Linked DNA regions of Rattus norvegicus. The protein of the gene in region 1 purifies or fractionates together with the protein of each later gene. This does not show direct contact. Links are inferred from orthologs where the notes say so. Each region holds a gene or a part of one and is shown on either strand. Other genes may lie near its edges.

The links.
Region 2: the proteins of Tom1 (region 1) and Cltc purify together in Homo sapiens (affinity purification with western blotting, with the first as the bait; 3 studies listed by BioGRID). This does not show direct contact. The link is inferred for Rattus norvegicus from reciprocal best matches to the Homo sapiens genes TOM1 and CLTC.

Annotation. Positions count from the first base shown.
Region 1 is NC_086037.1:13,407,888-13,416,160, forward strand, and holds the start of Tom1 (target of Myb1 membrane trafficking protein), read left to right. Parts: upstream 1-3,356; 5' UTR 3,357-3,427; coding exon 3,428-3,479; exon of another isoform or gene 3,480-6,688; intron 6,689-8,273.
Region 2 is NC_086028.1:72,024,225-72,032,049, forward strand, and holds part of Cltc (clathrin heavy chain 1), read right to left. Parts: coding exon 7,599-7,825; intron 5,500-7,598; coding exon 5,377-5,499; intron 4,139-5,376; coding exon 3,993-4,138; intron 3,536-3,992; coding exon 3,352-3,535; intron 3,168-3,351; coding exon 2,975-3,167; intron 2,242-2,974; coding exon 2,084-2,241; intron 1,394-2,083; coding exon 1,229-1,393; intron 1,105-1,228; coding exon 997-1,104; intron 920-996; coding exon 752-919; intron 640-751; coding exon 358-639; intron 263-357; coding exon 152-262; intron 1-151. UniProt on the Homo sapiens protein: Clathrin is the major protein of the polyhedral coat of coated pits and vesicles. Two different adapter protein complexes link the clathrin lattice either to the plasma membrane or to the trans-Golgi network.

The DNA of each region.
Region 1 (8,273 bases):
ACTGAGTAGGGGACTCATTCCCGTTCCTGCTAAAGAGGTATCTGTGTCTCCAGTTTTATTGTACCCACAGTACCACAGAGTCGTGGGCACCATCTATAGCCTCAGTGTGTGATTCTTGGCCACAGAAAAATAAATACCTTGGAGAAACCAAAGCTGTTGGTGCCACCTGTTGAACCTGCTTGTCTGGCCAGCAAGGCTTGGTGTACAAAACACAAAGCTGCCGTCTTTCACTGGCGGCATTGGGTGCCCACCAACTCCCGAGAGATTCTGCAGCTTAGCTGCCTGGTGGCTCTTGGTTCAGCTCTGGTTCCCCTGGTGGGTACTTTGTGCTCTGCATTCCACACGGAGCTGGACCACAGAGAAGTCCTTGGTTCTCAGTAGGGTTATCTATATGTGTGTTTGAGTGTATATTTTAATTATGTGTATTTAACTCTTTAGAATTTCTTAGATTTTAATTTATCCTGTAAATTTCTGTACATATAATTTAAAAACAAGCCTCCAGCAGCAGGAACATGTGGAGCATACAGATTTGTCATTTCTTAATGTCTGTCTAAAAGCCTCAAGTCGTCCATATGTTTAGGTGTTGTGACTCAGAAAGGAACTTCATGGCCCTCAATAATGTTAGGAAAGTGAAATAGAAAGGAATGGCACCATTCTAACTGCCCTTATTCCCAAAGAACCAGGCCTGCTTCCCATCAGAGAGAAGATATCTCAACACTCCAGGGTTGTTTGGAAATGTGGTGAGTTAGCCAAGCTTTCTTCCTCTGGCCTGGAAGAACATGGCAGCATCACTGTAAACCTCTGGGGACCATGTAGCCAGCTGGCATCCTAGGTAACACCTTCCCATAGCCCGACTGCTGTCATGGCCGAGCTTCTCACAGGAGTTCTGGAGGCTCTGTCCCCATCTCAGCTCAGAGCAGTGCTGAGATGTAATCTGAGAAATGGAGACAGGAACAGGAATATGTGGGAACTGAAATCAAGCAAAGCAGAAATTTAAATTTGAGTTAACATGTCAGAACCTCCTTTGAACCTGCAGAAGTTTGCTGTGAGGAACGGCACCCAGGAGAGGCCAAGGAAGGCATGTATCGTTTAGGAAGCAGCCAGTCCTCCATTGCCCTTGCTACAGACAGTTGTGAACTCCTGAGGAGAACGGGCTTTTTCGTGTTTGTTTTCCTCTGAAGCCTAGCCCTGTTGTATTTGTATTAAAGATTTGTACACATTTGTATAATAATCTGTACCTTGTGGTATTTGGTACTATTAGAGGAAAAACTTTGGATTCAGGCCTTCTTGCTGTTTTTATATCATTGTTTTATTTTGTTTTTTAAATAAATCCTAGTGGTTTGATCCAAATCCTATTACAGTTGTATAAAGAAACAAAATTTTGTACTTATATTAAAGATCTCATTTTTAATATTTATAGTCCAGTCTTAGCTGTCTTTTCCCTAATTGGGCTAGTCATAGTTGCTATAAAATTGTAAAACCTGTCATTCACTCTACTCTACCCTAGCATTTCTCTAAAAGGGCGGGGGGTGGGGGGGTTGAAGAGATGGTTCATTGGTTATGACTATTTCCTGCTCTTGGAAAGGACCCAAGTTAGATCCCAGCATTCATTCAACCGAATGTAAGTCCAGTCCCAGAGGATCAGTCACCCTCTGTGGCCTCCTTAGGCACAGGCACACAAGTGCATACACCCACACAGAGGTACACACCAAACATAATTAAAATTTTAAAGTTTTTAAACCAAAACCTGAAATAAAGGCCAAGTTACCACATTCCTATCGATCCTGAGCCATGCAGCCCTGTGTCTCAGGTTGAACACACCTTATATGTAAAGGCTCTCAAATATCACTTTCTTATATTATAAAAGGAGAGAATCGGATAAGTGTGGCTCTAGTGCTTGGCAGATGAAACCATATACAATATGTTATTGGCCTACATCAAGAAGTATCCATCAATCTTTGTCAGGGTTGCATGAAAATCCTATGCTAAAAAGTAGTTCATATCCCAGGATCTTTCCAGAGTCTTGTCTATTTAAAAAAAAATGGGGATGTGATGTCACCTCCTTGTCTCTGAGTCTACAGCCATGTGGCCTGACGTGAATGTGTGCTAATACTATAAACACTGAAATATGGAAATTTGGCCTTTCATGGCTAAGGAAAAAGTTAATGGAAATACAAGATGTTAAAAATCATAAGTAGCAAAACACGAATAATAATTAAAGGCTGCATGTTGTAATGTACATACACCTTTAATTCCAACACCCCTGAGATCTGAGTTTGAAACCAGCCTTGGGAGACTGTGTCCAAAAAAACGGGATGCAGAGCATTGGCTTTTAATGTGACAAGGTCCTAGGATGAGCCCCAGCCCTGCCAAGAATGGAAGAGAGGAAGTGAGATGTCCCACGGTACTTGTTTAATCTCAAGAGATTAAATGTGAAAGAATCAATTCCTCGTAAGTTTCGATCTGACACATACAGGATTTTTAAAAATTACAAATTTAAAACATAATGCCTGGCACTGGAGAGGTGGCTCAGAGGATAAGAGCAATGACTGCTCTTCCAGAGGTCCTGAGTTCAATTTCCAGCAACCACCTGGTGGCTCACAACCATCTGTGATGGGCCAGTGCCCTCTTCTGGTGTGTCTGAAGACAGCAACAGTGCGTACTCATACATAAATAAATAAATCTAAAAAAAATTAAAAACATAATACAAAGATACAGCAAGGAAGAAGCAACCATCGCGGAATGCCTGTTGAGTGATTTTCATGTCATCTCAATACTCTGAAAGCATTACATTATGGATATTGGTCGTCCCACCACCACCTTTACAGATGAGGGGAACAGGTAAAGAAAAAGCACTTTTCTGGTTTCCCAAGAGCCAAGGTGGATGAGGTGGCTTACCAGGTAAAGGAACTTGCCACAGTATGTTCAGTTCATTCTCTGTCTCAAAGGAGCACAAACCCAGGTCCTTGCCTCCTCTTTGGCCACAAACGAGTGGCTCCTGGAGCAGGGAGACATCAAATAGAAATTTCGAGTCCGACTTGGACAGGAGGCTATCGTCCTTAGGGCTTGGTCCCCAAGACTAAAGGCTAAGATGCTAATATTTTCGTTATCTTGCGTAACCTGACCCAGGTCTTTCCTTGGCCAGAGACCCAGTTTCCGGATGTGAAGACTTCTAGGCTCCACTGCGGCGCACATAGAAGTTTCGGGGGCGTGGCTTAGGAGCCAGCTCTCCCAGGCCCCGCCCTGGTGTGGCGTCAGCCACTGCCGAGGGGCAGCCCGGTAGGGGGCGGGGCTCGTGGCTGCGCCCCAGAGCCCCCGCCTGCCGGCACCTCCCCGCGGGCCGGCCAGCGGGTCACGTGACGGGTCGGCGGCGCCGGCGGTTGCTGTCACCTGATTCTGGGAGCTGGTGGCAGTGGTAGCCGCGGCAATGGACTTTCTCCTGGGAAACCCGTTCAGTTCTCCCGTGGGACAGCGGATCGGTGAGTCCCGGGAGCCGCGTGCAGTCCCGCCCCTGTGTGCCGCTCTGGCCTCGACCCTGGGACCTGTCGGAGTCCACAGTCAGGGCTGGGAGGAGGGAGGCTAGGCTGCGAGGCTGGCGCGGCGCTCTGGGCTCCGCCTACCCTATGACTCCCACCTGATTGACAAGAGCACAGGCCAATCGGAATTCTTATATGGGGATTGATGCTTGATGTAACCAATAGGCAGGAGAAGGAGACAGTTCTGGGCGGATGTGGCTCAGCCAATGTGTGCGTGCTGGGGTCCAGAGTAGAGGGAGAAAGTTTGGGTTAAAGGGACTGCTGTGGTGAGAAGGCGTTGGGCCGCGCCACCGCTGGGCGCGCGCAGGCTTAGAGCCTCTCCCGGGCTGGCGGCGCCTGGGTCATTCGCCGCGTCACCCGCCGCTCACATTCCGAGACGCCGGGGTATCTAGGTTCGGCCGCGCCTCTGTCCCCATGGTCGGGAGACTCGGGTTTATGTGACGTCGCCTCCTTGATGGTCCTCGCCCATAGTTTAAGGATCATGGCATGGCCTTGCTGGACTTCTTTGATCATTAAATGCATTAATAAGCGCGAGGCATTGAGGATGTTTCCTGGCACATGGCTAACGCCTGTCATTGTCAACGAGGTACCGCCTACTGAAGCTGGAGCCCATGGGAAGATGCCGGCGCCCAGCATCTACTCTCGGGCGAAGGCCAGCTGGCGACATTTACCCAGGAATGGGTGGTCTGGGCGTGACACACATCCCCTTTATCTGACCGCATTGTGAAATTATTTTTGATGTTTTTTTTTCGCCGTTGGTCCAGCCTGGGAAGGCTGGATCTGAAAGCCAAGGCTTCCCCGAAGTCGTTAGTCCAGCTGTGTTGTAACCACCACTGCAGCTGTTAGTGGCTCTTTTGAGGTTCTCATCAGTTCTCTGCAGGGAACTCTGGCGCCTGGAGCCCAGGTGCTTCACAAAAACCCCACCATAAATCGTTGTTTGAGACCCGGAAAGAGAAGGCAGCCCTCTTCTCAGATGTCTTATGTAAAGACAAAGGCAAATTAGTCTGGCCTTCAAAGCCAGCCTGAAAGTCCAGAGACCTGGATAAGCTCATTTGGGTTTAAGATGCCGTTCAGTTCAAAGCTCAGCATCTCTTCCTGCCCTGAAAGTTTGCCTGCCTCGGGCAAAAAATACTCCTGGATAAGAGTGCTGCTACATCAGTACCTTGGAGCGCTGATTAAATCTCACTGCTGGACCCTCTCTGCCTTGGGGTTCATGTCAGAATAGGTTGGACCGATCCAAGACTCAGATGGGCAGGTGTAGGGTTCCCAGTCATGTTCTTTGCAGTTGGCTGGGAGAGCACACGTTTCGAAACCTCCCACCAGAAGCGGTGGCTCACATCTGTAATCCTACACCCAGGAGACTAAGACAGGAGGATTGCCACAAAGTCCCAGGCTAACTGGACTCTGAAATTCATTGCAGGGCAGCATAAGCTGCAGTGTAAGACCCTGTTTCAAACAAAACACCAGTCCATTCTGTCCCGTGGCCCTTCCCTTTACTGAGAGGAAGAGATCAAGTTCTACAGAAGGAAGGGGGTGAAGACTGAGGAACCCCCAAAATCCAGTGCAGTGCGATGAGATGGCAAAGCTGTAAAAGAGCCAGGGGTGGTGGAACAGCACTTAGGAGGCTGAAACAGGAAGATTTTGAGTTCAAGTCCAGCCTGGGCTACAGAGAGAGACCCTACCTTGAAGAACAACAGCAGTGTTCCATACTCTTCCGTGTGTCAAGATAGAAGCACTGGAGGTTGAGCCTGCGTTGGTTTTTTTGAGACAGGGTCTCTCAGTGTTGACCAGGTTGGTCAGGAGCTTCAGGCCTTAAGCAGTCCTCCCCCATCAGCTTCCAAGTGGCGAAGACCTGACTGGCTGTGATGATTGGTGGCCAGGTTTTAGCTGCTTGTATTCTTTATAGCCCAGGCCCCTCTTTGCTGCAGGAGTAAAGTGGTATCTTCTCAGGTCTGCTGACCTCCTGCCCTAAGAGTGGAGTGTTATAGGATTAACATCCTAGGGGATAGCAGTCGTTCAGTGGTGCTAATCAGGGCCCAGTGTCACTGGCCTCACAATTCACATACACCTTGACACTTGGCTGGTCTCACTGGAAATTTCTGCTGCTGTGAGGAGCTGGGCTCATGCCCGGAAGCACTGGGCACCACCTCCTCCCTGAGGCCGTGTCCCATCTCCTGACCCAATCTCTGCTCTTGTGTTCTGTCCTCAGTCTGCGTCCTGTAGGCACAAAACAGCTCTCACCTCAAGGGAAATCAGAGATACTTCATTCTATCCCCGGACCAAATATGAATTGCCATGACCCAAGAATACAGATTCGCATCACCCCAAATAACGTGGTCCAATGTGGAAATGGTTTCATGATATTTTTTGTAGTTGCAGAGAACAAAAGCAAGCCATAAACCAGACACTCAGGCTACAGCAAAGCATGAAAATCTAGGCTCCATGTCTCAGGTGCTAGCTGATGACATTACTAAGTTTGGGTTGGTAGACACTAGTTTTCTATTAACTTATTCCAAAAGGCGTTACCTGGTAGTCACAGAAATGTTAGGTCAGACACAAGATAAGCAATAAGTGGTTACTAAGGGTCTAAAGCAAGGTAATTTGTCTCAAGATCTGCAGCATTCCAACTCTCCGCCATCACAAAGTTGTAGTCAACCTTCTAACATCTTTAACCCAGGTGTAGCTTTCGTGGGAACTTTAGTTTGTAAACTTGAACGCTCTTGCCTGAGAGAGGTTATAAGGAAGCCAGTCTTTCAGAGTGCCTGTGCAGTGAGAGGGTATGGGAAACAGCTCCCGCCACCTCGTGTTCTTGTTCCACCTCCATCACACTGATGTATCACTGTCCCTGAAAGGCTGTCCCCAGCCTGGCATGAGTTGAGAGCAGGAGCTCTCCTTTTCTTTCCTGATGCCTCAGCACCTAGAAGGAGGTGACCAGGAAAAAAAGAAAAAAGGAAGGACATGGCTTGGTCTTGAGTATGGTGAAGGAGAAAGTTTATTGTAGATAAAAGGGAAAGCATAGCCAGAAGCAAAGACCTCTGGGAGAATTCAGAGTGAACATGGGTGCCCAGCAGGGAGGGAGCAGAGCCACACCAAGAGGCCTGCAAGGTAAAAGGTACATGAAAAAAGACCAGAGAACCAAAATTATTAGATTGTGTAGGGAAGGGCAGCTGTGGGGAGGGAAGTCTAGGCTAATACCTGGGCTGGAGAAATTTAGGGCAGGGGTTGGAATGTGCAGGACAGGAGGACCTTGCAACCCGCAGGGACTGAGGGATACTGGGAGAACCTGGAGGCCAGGTTCGCTTCGATATGTTAAATAAGCACCTCGGGCGTGTCTGTTGGTCTGGGGTTTGAGCCTTAACTGGTGGGAGAGTAGCCTAACTACTCAGGGTCACAACGTTCTCCCTTGCCTCTGAACACACCAGTCTACTCTGGTCCTAGCTTGAATTTATATCAGCAGGACCCCGCAGGATTAATCTGTGTTATTAATCTACCAAAGATTATAGCATAATGGTGAGTTTTCACCCACCTCCGAGTCACTCTAGAAGAGCCCCACAAGGGCGGCCGCAGCCTGTGGCCCCCAGCGTCCAGTGGCCTATACCAGGTAGTATCCCTTGTCTGCCCCAACTATTGCAGCCCTGTCTCCCCTGCTCATCTATAATGGAACACGGACGTACCCCCACTTTTCCTTCCCAAAGGGCTGGTGAACAGCAGCTGCAAGGTAATGAGAATGGGGAAGGGTTAGTGCTGCACAGCACAGAGGGGCAGTGTACTATTCCAAGAAGTCAGTGCCAGGTTAGGCAGCCAACCCTGGACCTGTCAGAGACTGGCTAGGTAGAGGTCAAAGGCTAGGACTTCAGAGGACTCTCACATGACTATCGGGGTGGACTAGACCAGGCTTACTCTGCAAAGGACTTCACAGTAAATCCTCAAGGCTTTAGAGGCCATCTGGTCTCTGTTGAAATACTCAACAGGATCATTTCTGCAGAGCAGCCAAAGACAATAGGTAAAAGAATGGGTGTGACCATGCTCCAATAAAACTGTATGGGCCGTGTATTTGAGTTCGTGTCATCGCCATATGTCATTAAACATCATTCTTCTCGGGTGTGGTACTGCACGTCTCTAATCCCAGTACTCAGGAGACAGAGACAGAGGCAGGCTGATCCAGGCTAGCCTGGTCTGCATAGTGAGACCCTATTTCAACACAGTGTTTACATAGGGCTTTGCCTTGGCTGGACAAATACTAGTAAAGCCCAGGGTGACCTTGAGTCAGAACCCTAGCTTCAGAACTTGGAATAGGTTATTAACCTCACTATCTCTAGTTCCTCATCTCTACAAGGAGGCTAATAATAGCACCTGTCAGGTGGGGTTGCTGTGTGTACCGTGTGTGGCATTTGAAGCACTTGGCTTGTGCCTGCCAGACCGGAGGCATCCACAGCTGCCAGCCCTGGGGATTCTTGTAGGTGGTGTCACTGGTCCTAGGGCGCACTTAGTGGCCCAGCTAAGGGTAACAATGCAGGAGCCTACTCCAGTACAGCTTTTGTTTTGGTCTTTGTGTCATTGCGATGTGAGCAGTCACTGGCTGGGTGGATGCACATTCGCCAGCCGGTCAGGTTTCAGGCAGTAGGGTGGAGCCAGTTCTCCTGGGCATTGAAGGCTCAGCCTGACTGTGGATTGAGCTGGTGAATAGGTTTCGTTCCCACATGGAACACTGAGAACTAAGAATAAAATCCTGAATTT
Region 2 (7,825 bases), on another chromosome or scaffold:
CCATCACGAAAACCTTGCTGAATTTAGGGCGTAAGCATCGATGTGCCTGCTACTTAGAAATGTAAGGCTAACTGGGGTTGTTACCACAGAGCCCCGTCAGTTAACCCTGTCAGAGTGTGATGCTGAGTGTTTACAGAACCCAAGGCTTTACCTGGTAATCCTCCTCTGTGATAAAGAGGTTGTTCAGGGATTCGTTCACGGACTTGTTGTTGTGGTTCTGAACTGAGCGTAAATATGGTTTCACCAGTGGTAGCTGTTTAACCTTTAAAATAAAGTTTGTTAGAAAGATATCCACAGCTGAGAACTGTTATCCAATCTGTCAAAATCCTCACTGTAGAGTTCAGGGCAAGAAGTTACCTTGCTGAAATAATTGACTGCACGAGTATGATCCAACCGTGGAGACAGCACCATGAGCAAGTCATTTAACAACAAGGGCTTGAATTCTAAGTAGAACTGGATTGCTTTGTAGTACAGTTCCACATTAGCCACCTTGGTGATGATGTCTTTGAACTGCCCTTCCTTCCATGCGTCGGTGGGGTGATTCATCATAGTGATGATGGCATTATCATACTCTTCATACTTGTCATACAGAAACACCAGCTCTGCCCAAAGATGGGCTTGCTCTGCGGCTCTCAGCACCTGAGGACAAAACCAGTTGCTTTAGATGTAAATCTTACTCTTGCTATCAGCCTAACAAGGAAAATGTATTTTAAATTATTAGAGTCGCCTCACAGTGGTGAAGACTGGTTACCTTAGGAATATTCACTCTTGACCAAAACAACTCTAGGTGTTCCCTCATTTTCTGTGGCTTGAATTTAGAATACAAAATTGCTAGCTCTGTGAACATTCCCATGTGAGCTCGCTCTAGTCCCAAGGCTGCCTCCAACATGGTGATGAGTTCTTCAAAATATCCACGATCCTATACGAAGAAAAAATGCAATTAGAGAGAATATGCGTACAAAGGTTTCAATTCATGTAAAGGTCTGGTGTCATTACCTGATAGTAGTTGATAAGCTCCTCTAATTCATCTGCATGCACAACAATATGGAGTCCACACATCTGAGCAAGGCGAAACTCTTTCCCATCTACACAGGCAAAGCAGACCTAGAAAAAACATTTTCCACTATGAGAACTCAAATATAAATAAATGCAATTATTTCAACTCAACAGTAGAAAAAAGTTTTCAAACAAAACGTTAACTCCTGATTGGAACCTGGGTTTAGAATACCTCTTTCCATGTTCGAGTACTATTAGCTTTTCTAGCACCATCAACTGCTGCCTGATACTCGCCAAGGTGAACCAGGGTAGACGCCAAACGTCCAAAGTTAGAAACATTATTGTACAACAACTTAGCAGCATCATACATTTTCTCATCATAACAACGGTCACCAACCTAGGGGGGAAAAGCAATCCACGATCAGTAAAATACAGGTGTCAGCTCAATCCTTTTTCAAAATTTGTATCTTACACCAAAGGAAAAGATATGCATATGCTGTAATCCAGCACCCAGAAGTTGATGCAGTTTACCAAGTTTAAAGACACATCCTTCATGCCACTGAGGAATTCCATCTCAAAAATTACAAATAAAATGAATGAACATATACACACTCCTAAGAACAGTTTAATTTCATAGTCCTAACACATTGATTCTGCCAGGGTGGTAAGCTGCTCATTGAATTTTCATGTGTTAAAATGTGGAGGTAGGAAGATAACTCAGTTGGAAAGTACTTGCCGTGTAAACAATAGGATGTGAGTTAATATCCATGACCCACATAAAAAGTCAGGTGTGGTGTGTGCTTGGAATCCCAGCAGAGTGGTAGGTCAGTCTTTTGTGCTTGCTGGCCAGCTAGCTCAAATTACTTAGACCCATGCCAACAAGAGACCCTGTTGTTTTTTTCTAAGTGGATGGTTTCTAAGGAATAAAAATAAAGCCTGCCCTTGGCCTTCATATGCACTTTTATGCGAGCATCCCACTAAACACGCGCGCGCGCGCACACACGCACACACACACACACACACACACACACACACACACACACACACACACACACGAGAGGGGAGGGAATTTAAACAGGAAACTCACTTGCTGAATATGAGCATTATTTGGCCCATTGATGAACTCTTCTAATTCTGCAAGACGGTTTGTTTTAGCCAGTGCAAATATCAATTCTGTCTCCACGTAGGACTCTCGGGCCTTCTTGCGTGCCATCTGCAAATACTTCACCAATTCTTCCCAGTTTCCTAAATAAAGAGAAAAATAAGCCCATAAACTAGCACTCTTATATTTCCAACCAAATATGTTAGATGTCCCCCTGCTAATTTGTTTTTTGAGAGTGTCATGCTATGTATATAGCCTAGGCAGTCCGTGAATTTAAGGCCTCCTGCCTCAGTGGCAGGAGTACATCACCACACCAGCTTAACTCTTTTTTCAAAGAAATATTATGTAGAATGACAAATGTAAAACTGGATATATCTAAAGTCTAAAAATTCCACTACACGTCTGTATTATTACTGCCCTAAAATTGCTTGATACTTCTCCCCACTTTAAAGTTATATACTAGAGCTCTATCAGGATTTTATCAGACCTCAAAACAAAATTAATTTTCTCCATGGATTTTCTTTTTTTTTTTTAATTTATTCATTTATTATATATAAGTACACTGTAGCTGTCTTCAGACACACCAGAAGAGGGCATCGGATCTCTTTATAGATGGTTGTGAGCCACCATGTGGTTGCTGGGAATTGAACTCAGGACCTCTGGAAGAGCAGTCGGTGCTCTTAACCGCTGAGCCATCTCTCCAGCCCCCTGGATTTTCTAAATTCATATAATTCAGTCAGTCTGAGATGCTGAGCTGAACGTTTTCACAAGTAACCAGGGAGTGCTAACCTCTATACTAGCAAAAGTATAGAATGTACTGAATGTTTGGCTTAGTAATTGTTTGGAGGTCTTAAAGACATAGACAAGAAGCCTTACCACTAGTATTGGCGGCCTGAACAACTTCCATGTAAGACGAAGGATCATCTGCTTTGATGTAAGAATCAATGGCTTCCTTCACCATCCCTTTCTGCAACTGAGCTTTTGCGAGTTGACTCCAAACAGCAGGCTCATTGCAGCGTTCAGCAAACTCATATGCACGATCCAGGTTTCCAATATGTTCAATTAACACCTGGGCAACATTTTTGAATTGGTGTTACAGTAAAATGGATCTTACCCAACAGAATTACATTTAAACAGACAGCATTTTATGATTATTCTGTGAAAGCAATCTGTGCACACGCTCACAAGACAATATATTCTTAACATCAAGACATTAGAGTCAGTATCTCAATTTATGTAACTTCATGATTTACCTGCACTGCTGAAGTATTGACATCAAACTTCCGGAAAATAGCAAATGCTTCTTCGAAGAGCTCATTGCTGATGGCAATGTTGGCAATATCTGGCGCATCATAATTGTCCAGGCGGTTAATATACTCCATAACTCGGGTTCGGTCAGCCTTAATTGCAGTGAGGATGAGGAGGTTTTGCAGATTCCTTAAGAAACAAACATTCAACACAATGTTTAAAAAGGTCATCAATGATGAGGAAACACTGTGGCACTAGACGGTTACTTGTGTCAAGGTCAAGGTAAGAAGAGACAGTATTAGGAGAGTAACAATCAAGAAAGCTGCCTAGTTGGGGATTTAGCTCAGTGGTAGAGCACTTGCCTAGGAAGCGCAAGGCCCTGGGTTCGGTCCCCAGCTCCGAAAAAAAAAAAAAGTTTAAAAAAGGTGATTACTTTTGGGGCTGGGGATTTAGCTCAGTGGTAGAGCGCTTACCTAGGAAGCGCAAGGCCCTGGGTTCGATCCCCAGCTCCGAAAAAAAGAACCAAAAAAAAAAAAAAAAAAAAAAAAAAAGAAAGCTGCCTATTCACTTTGTTTCTGTTCCTTCCCCAAACTGACAGGCCACAGTGAAAGACTGAGAAAGCCAATGCAATCCCCTGCCAGCTTACCTGTGTTCACTGAATACAGAGTTATCAAGGACAATTTTCTCCAGCAGCTCAATGAGTTCATTAGGAAGATCTGCTGTCATAAAAGCCTTGACAGTTACTGACACTTCTTCTGGGTCCTGAGTTTCAGACAAGGCTGTCTGTACGACCTACAAAGGACATACATGGAAGAGTTAAAAAAATAAAAAAATAAAAAATCAAGGTGTTTTTAAAAAGACATTGGCTGGTAACAATAAGTTAGTTAACATCTCAATAGAAAATCTCAAATAGAAGGAAAAATGCCCTTTCTACTCGAAGACCTTTGTACACAATATACATGGACACACATTGTTTATAATTATGTTCCCATCAGCAGTTATGTCACTTGCACTTTCCCTGATAGAACACTATCCATGATAACTTATCACTATTACTGTAATGGGTCCTCATCTTCAAATCCCTAGACACAGATTAGGAAATGAACAACCCTCGTTTGTCTACTTCCATATGCCCAGATGCCATGAGTGCAGGAAGCTTTATCTACATGGGAATGCGCCTTGGAAATGCTTTCTAGAGAGTGTGTGTCACTCTCTTTTTGTGTGTCAGAAGAATTTAAGAATCATTATTATAACAAGCAATAATTAGCGCTTTAAATTCAAGATTTCAATTTCATATAGGTATAAAAATCTCCACTGCAGTGCTGTGTTACTTAGTTAGAATTCTTATACTGGTTTGGGTACAGTGTGTGCATGAAGGTGTACAGGTGCTGTGTCTTGCCAGTCACCAGCATGCTCCAGAGGTCTTCCTGTCTGCCTACCCAGCCCTGCTTGTAGGCGATGCTAGTAACCAGAAACTGGGTCACACTTACCAATAATCTTCATGATACTTGGAATTTAGAAAAGAATTGGAGATAGAATCTTGCTACACTCACAGGATGATGTTAATTAACTCAAACTCATACTCTTTCTTTCTCTCTCAAACTCCTAAGTACTAGGGACTTTAAGCTGTTAGACCCAAACATTACTTGGATTTTTGGTTTTTGAATTATCAATCCTCTTTGTGTGCTGACTTACTGCTTTCAATGTCTTAATTTCAGTCATGTATCAGCTAACGATTTGGAGTCAATCCTAATTTATTCCCTTTCTTTAATGGTGATGAACTTAATATAAATTTATGGTTTTAGATTTCACTTTCCTTATAATATTTTACACACACACACACACACACACACACACACACACACACACACACAAACAATTTTACATTTATATAGTACAATTTTAATGTTTTTTTTACTTTTTGTGTCTTCTGTTATAGTTAAATATGACCCATTTGAATATATTTGGATATGTAATGAGAGGAAAGTATTCCAGGTCAGAAAGAAGTGAAACATTTTTGTCACATTTACCTGGTCAATTAATGGTCTTCTGTATGGATTGCTTTCCAGTAGCACACTACCCCACAACTCTGGATCCTTTCGACGGACCAGGTAGCGAGAAAGACTTTTGAAGAGGGAATTCTCATTGCAAACCTAATTAAAACAGCCAGGTTAATTTCAGCGCAATTACAGAAAACGAGTCTGACAGTTATTTGCAATCATGTCAACTCTTTAAAAAAAAAAATCTAGGGAATATCACAGTCAAATATTCCCATTAGAATTCAACAATGAAAAGAAAAAAGAAATTTTAGGAGCTTTTTAGAAGACTCCTAGTATAGCACCTGGTTTTCTTCTTTGCTTGAGCTTCAAATTTCTTTATCCTCCTCTACTTCTCACATGCTAGAATTACAGACACACACTCGCATATTTAGCTTATTTTTGATGTTCAAGCACTAGTATTGTATTAACTTTAAATCATAGCTTTGTATTACACTCTAATACAGGTCTGGTTGCCTTCAAAACTTTCTTCCAGTGTTTCATTAGATACTGAACACTTTTCCATACACCTGCATATAAATATGTATCATCTTTGAAAGCACATACAAACACAGATAAGTTTCTAAGATCTGACCACAGAACAACGCTAGAAGCAATCTTCAGGGCAGAACTCAGTTACTAACGGCATCTTTCATTAAAAAGGGTAGGGGCTGCCTGGAAAAATGGGCAACTCTAATCTGGGAAAGTTGCACAATGAACCTTGAAGTTCATCAACAACCAGGCAACAATGTGAATGCTAACAGAAATTACAGTAATGGACTGTAATTCAGAGTACAACAGGAGTCCATAAATCCGAGAATACTGACGAATAAATATGACAGAACTTTTTTTCAGTGCTGTGATTGTAATCAGGGCCTCATTCATGCAGGCCCAGTAACTCTAACCTGTAACTGGTAAACAGGAGAAAGGGCTACAGTAGTCATCAACCTAGTAACAATGTCTTAGGTTACAAAGGCCTAGTAAGCAGGGACAAGGAGAAAGGACCTGTGGGTGAGTGTGCTCATTTCTTTACCAAAGTACTCCCGAATGGGAAGTGGACAATTCAGTGGAGACTGGCAACATAAAGAAAGAAAATGGCAGCACAGAGCAAACATTATTTAAGCAGTATTCCAAGTAGAGATGTATGATCTAAAAATCTAATTATAGAGAACCATTATTGAAATACTTGATTTTAGCTGCAAAGCAAAGAAATGATTCAGGGAAACTCAGAAATGTTTTTCTGCGGCCAGGCATTCAGCACTGCAGGAGGAAGAACCAGAGGCCATACATTTATATGAAATGTACAGGGGTCAGCAATATGGCTTAATAGGTAGCTTGCCACCAAGGCTGATGACCAGAGTGGTTCATGAGACCCACATACATTGAGGAGATAAAAGATTCCCACTAGTTGTTCTGACTTCTACATACTTGTGCACAAGTAATAAATACTTTAATTAAAAAAAAAAATACAGAACAGGGAAATCCACAGGAGTTGGGTGTGGTTTGGCAGCTGTGAGGTTCTATGAGAAGGGAGTACATGAAGATTTACTAAAAAGAAGCTCTCCTTTCTCAGTGCTGAGAGCCTGGAAAGTGGGAAAGAGTGTTGATTTGCAACACTCAACTCACTAAAAGCCACTGAGATGTTCACTTTACAATGGAAAATTTGATTATGCACTTATTTCACAGCAACAACAACAAAAAACCTAACTAAATACAAATTTCAAAATGAGTTTTAGCAAACGTATCTATCATTTAAAAACAAACAAGTTTCCAAGGACTGATTTAGAATAAAGAGGCTGAAGAGTGGACACAATGGTGATGGTAAACTACAGAAAACCCTGACAACACTGAAACCAAACCTTTCAGAGTTTCTTGTTACCCTCTGACTGACTGTTGCTGGTATCTATATAAAGATACGTCTTCATTCCTAGAAAGTAGAACCCGATGGATACAAACCCGTGAGGAATGTACTGTGGCTGAAATGCTATGTTAAGGTACGCTTGAGCGTGTACAAGAACACAAGCAGAGCTGATACAGGCCAAATCAGCAGAGAGTGAGTGTACAGACTTGCGTTTACTACTATCTCCAAACACAGTTTTAAAATAGCACCCATCTGTCCAAAACTGTTCTGTATTAACTAAAAACCGTATAGAAACTCAAACAACTAGTTAAAAGAAATACAGACGTCTCTGTCCCACTCAGCAAGCAGTACTTACGTTGATTAGTTCCAGATCACACTGGCCACGTTCATAAGCAACACAGGCCAGATGTGGGTCTCTCTTCTCACAGTACTTTCCCACGACACGACTGTCATAGTAGGGGTTTTCACGAAGGAATCTCTCTGGGTTGTTATTGCTGTCGATGTATATTTTGGCTAACGCATTGTGTGTAGCAGGCTCCTCACAGCCCTCATGAATTCTAGCCTCAAGCCAAGGAAGAAGCA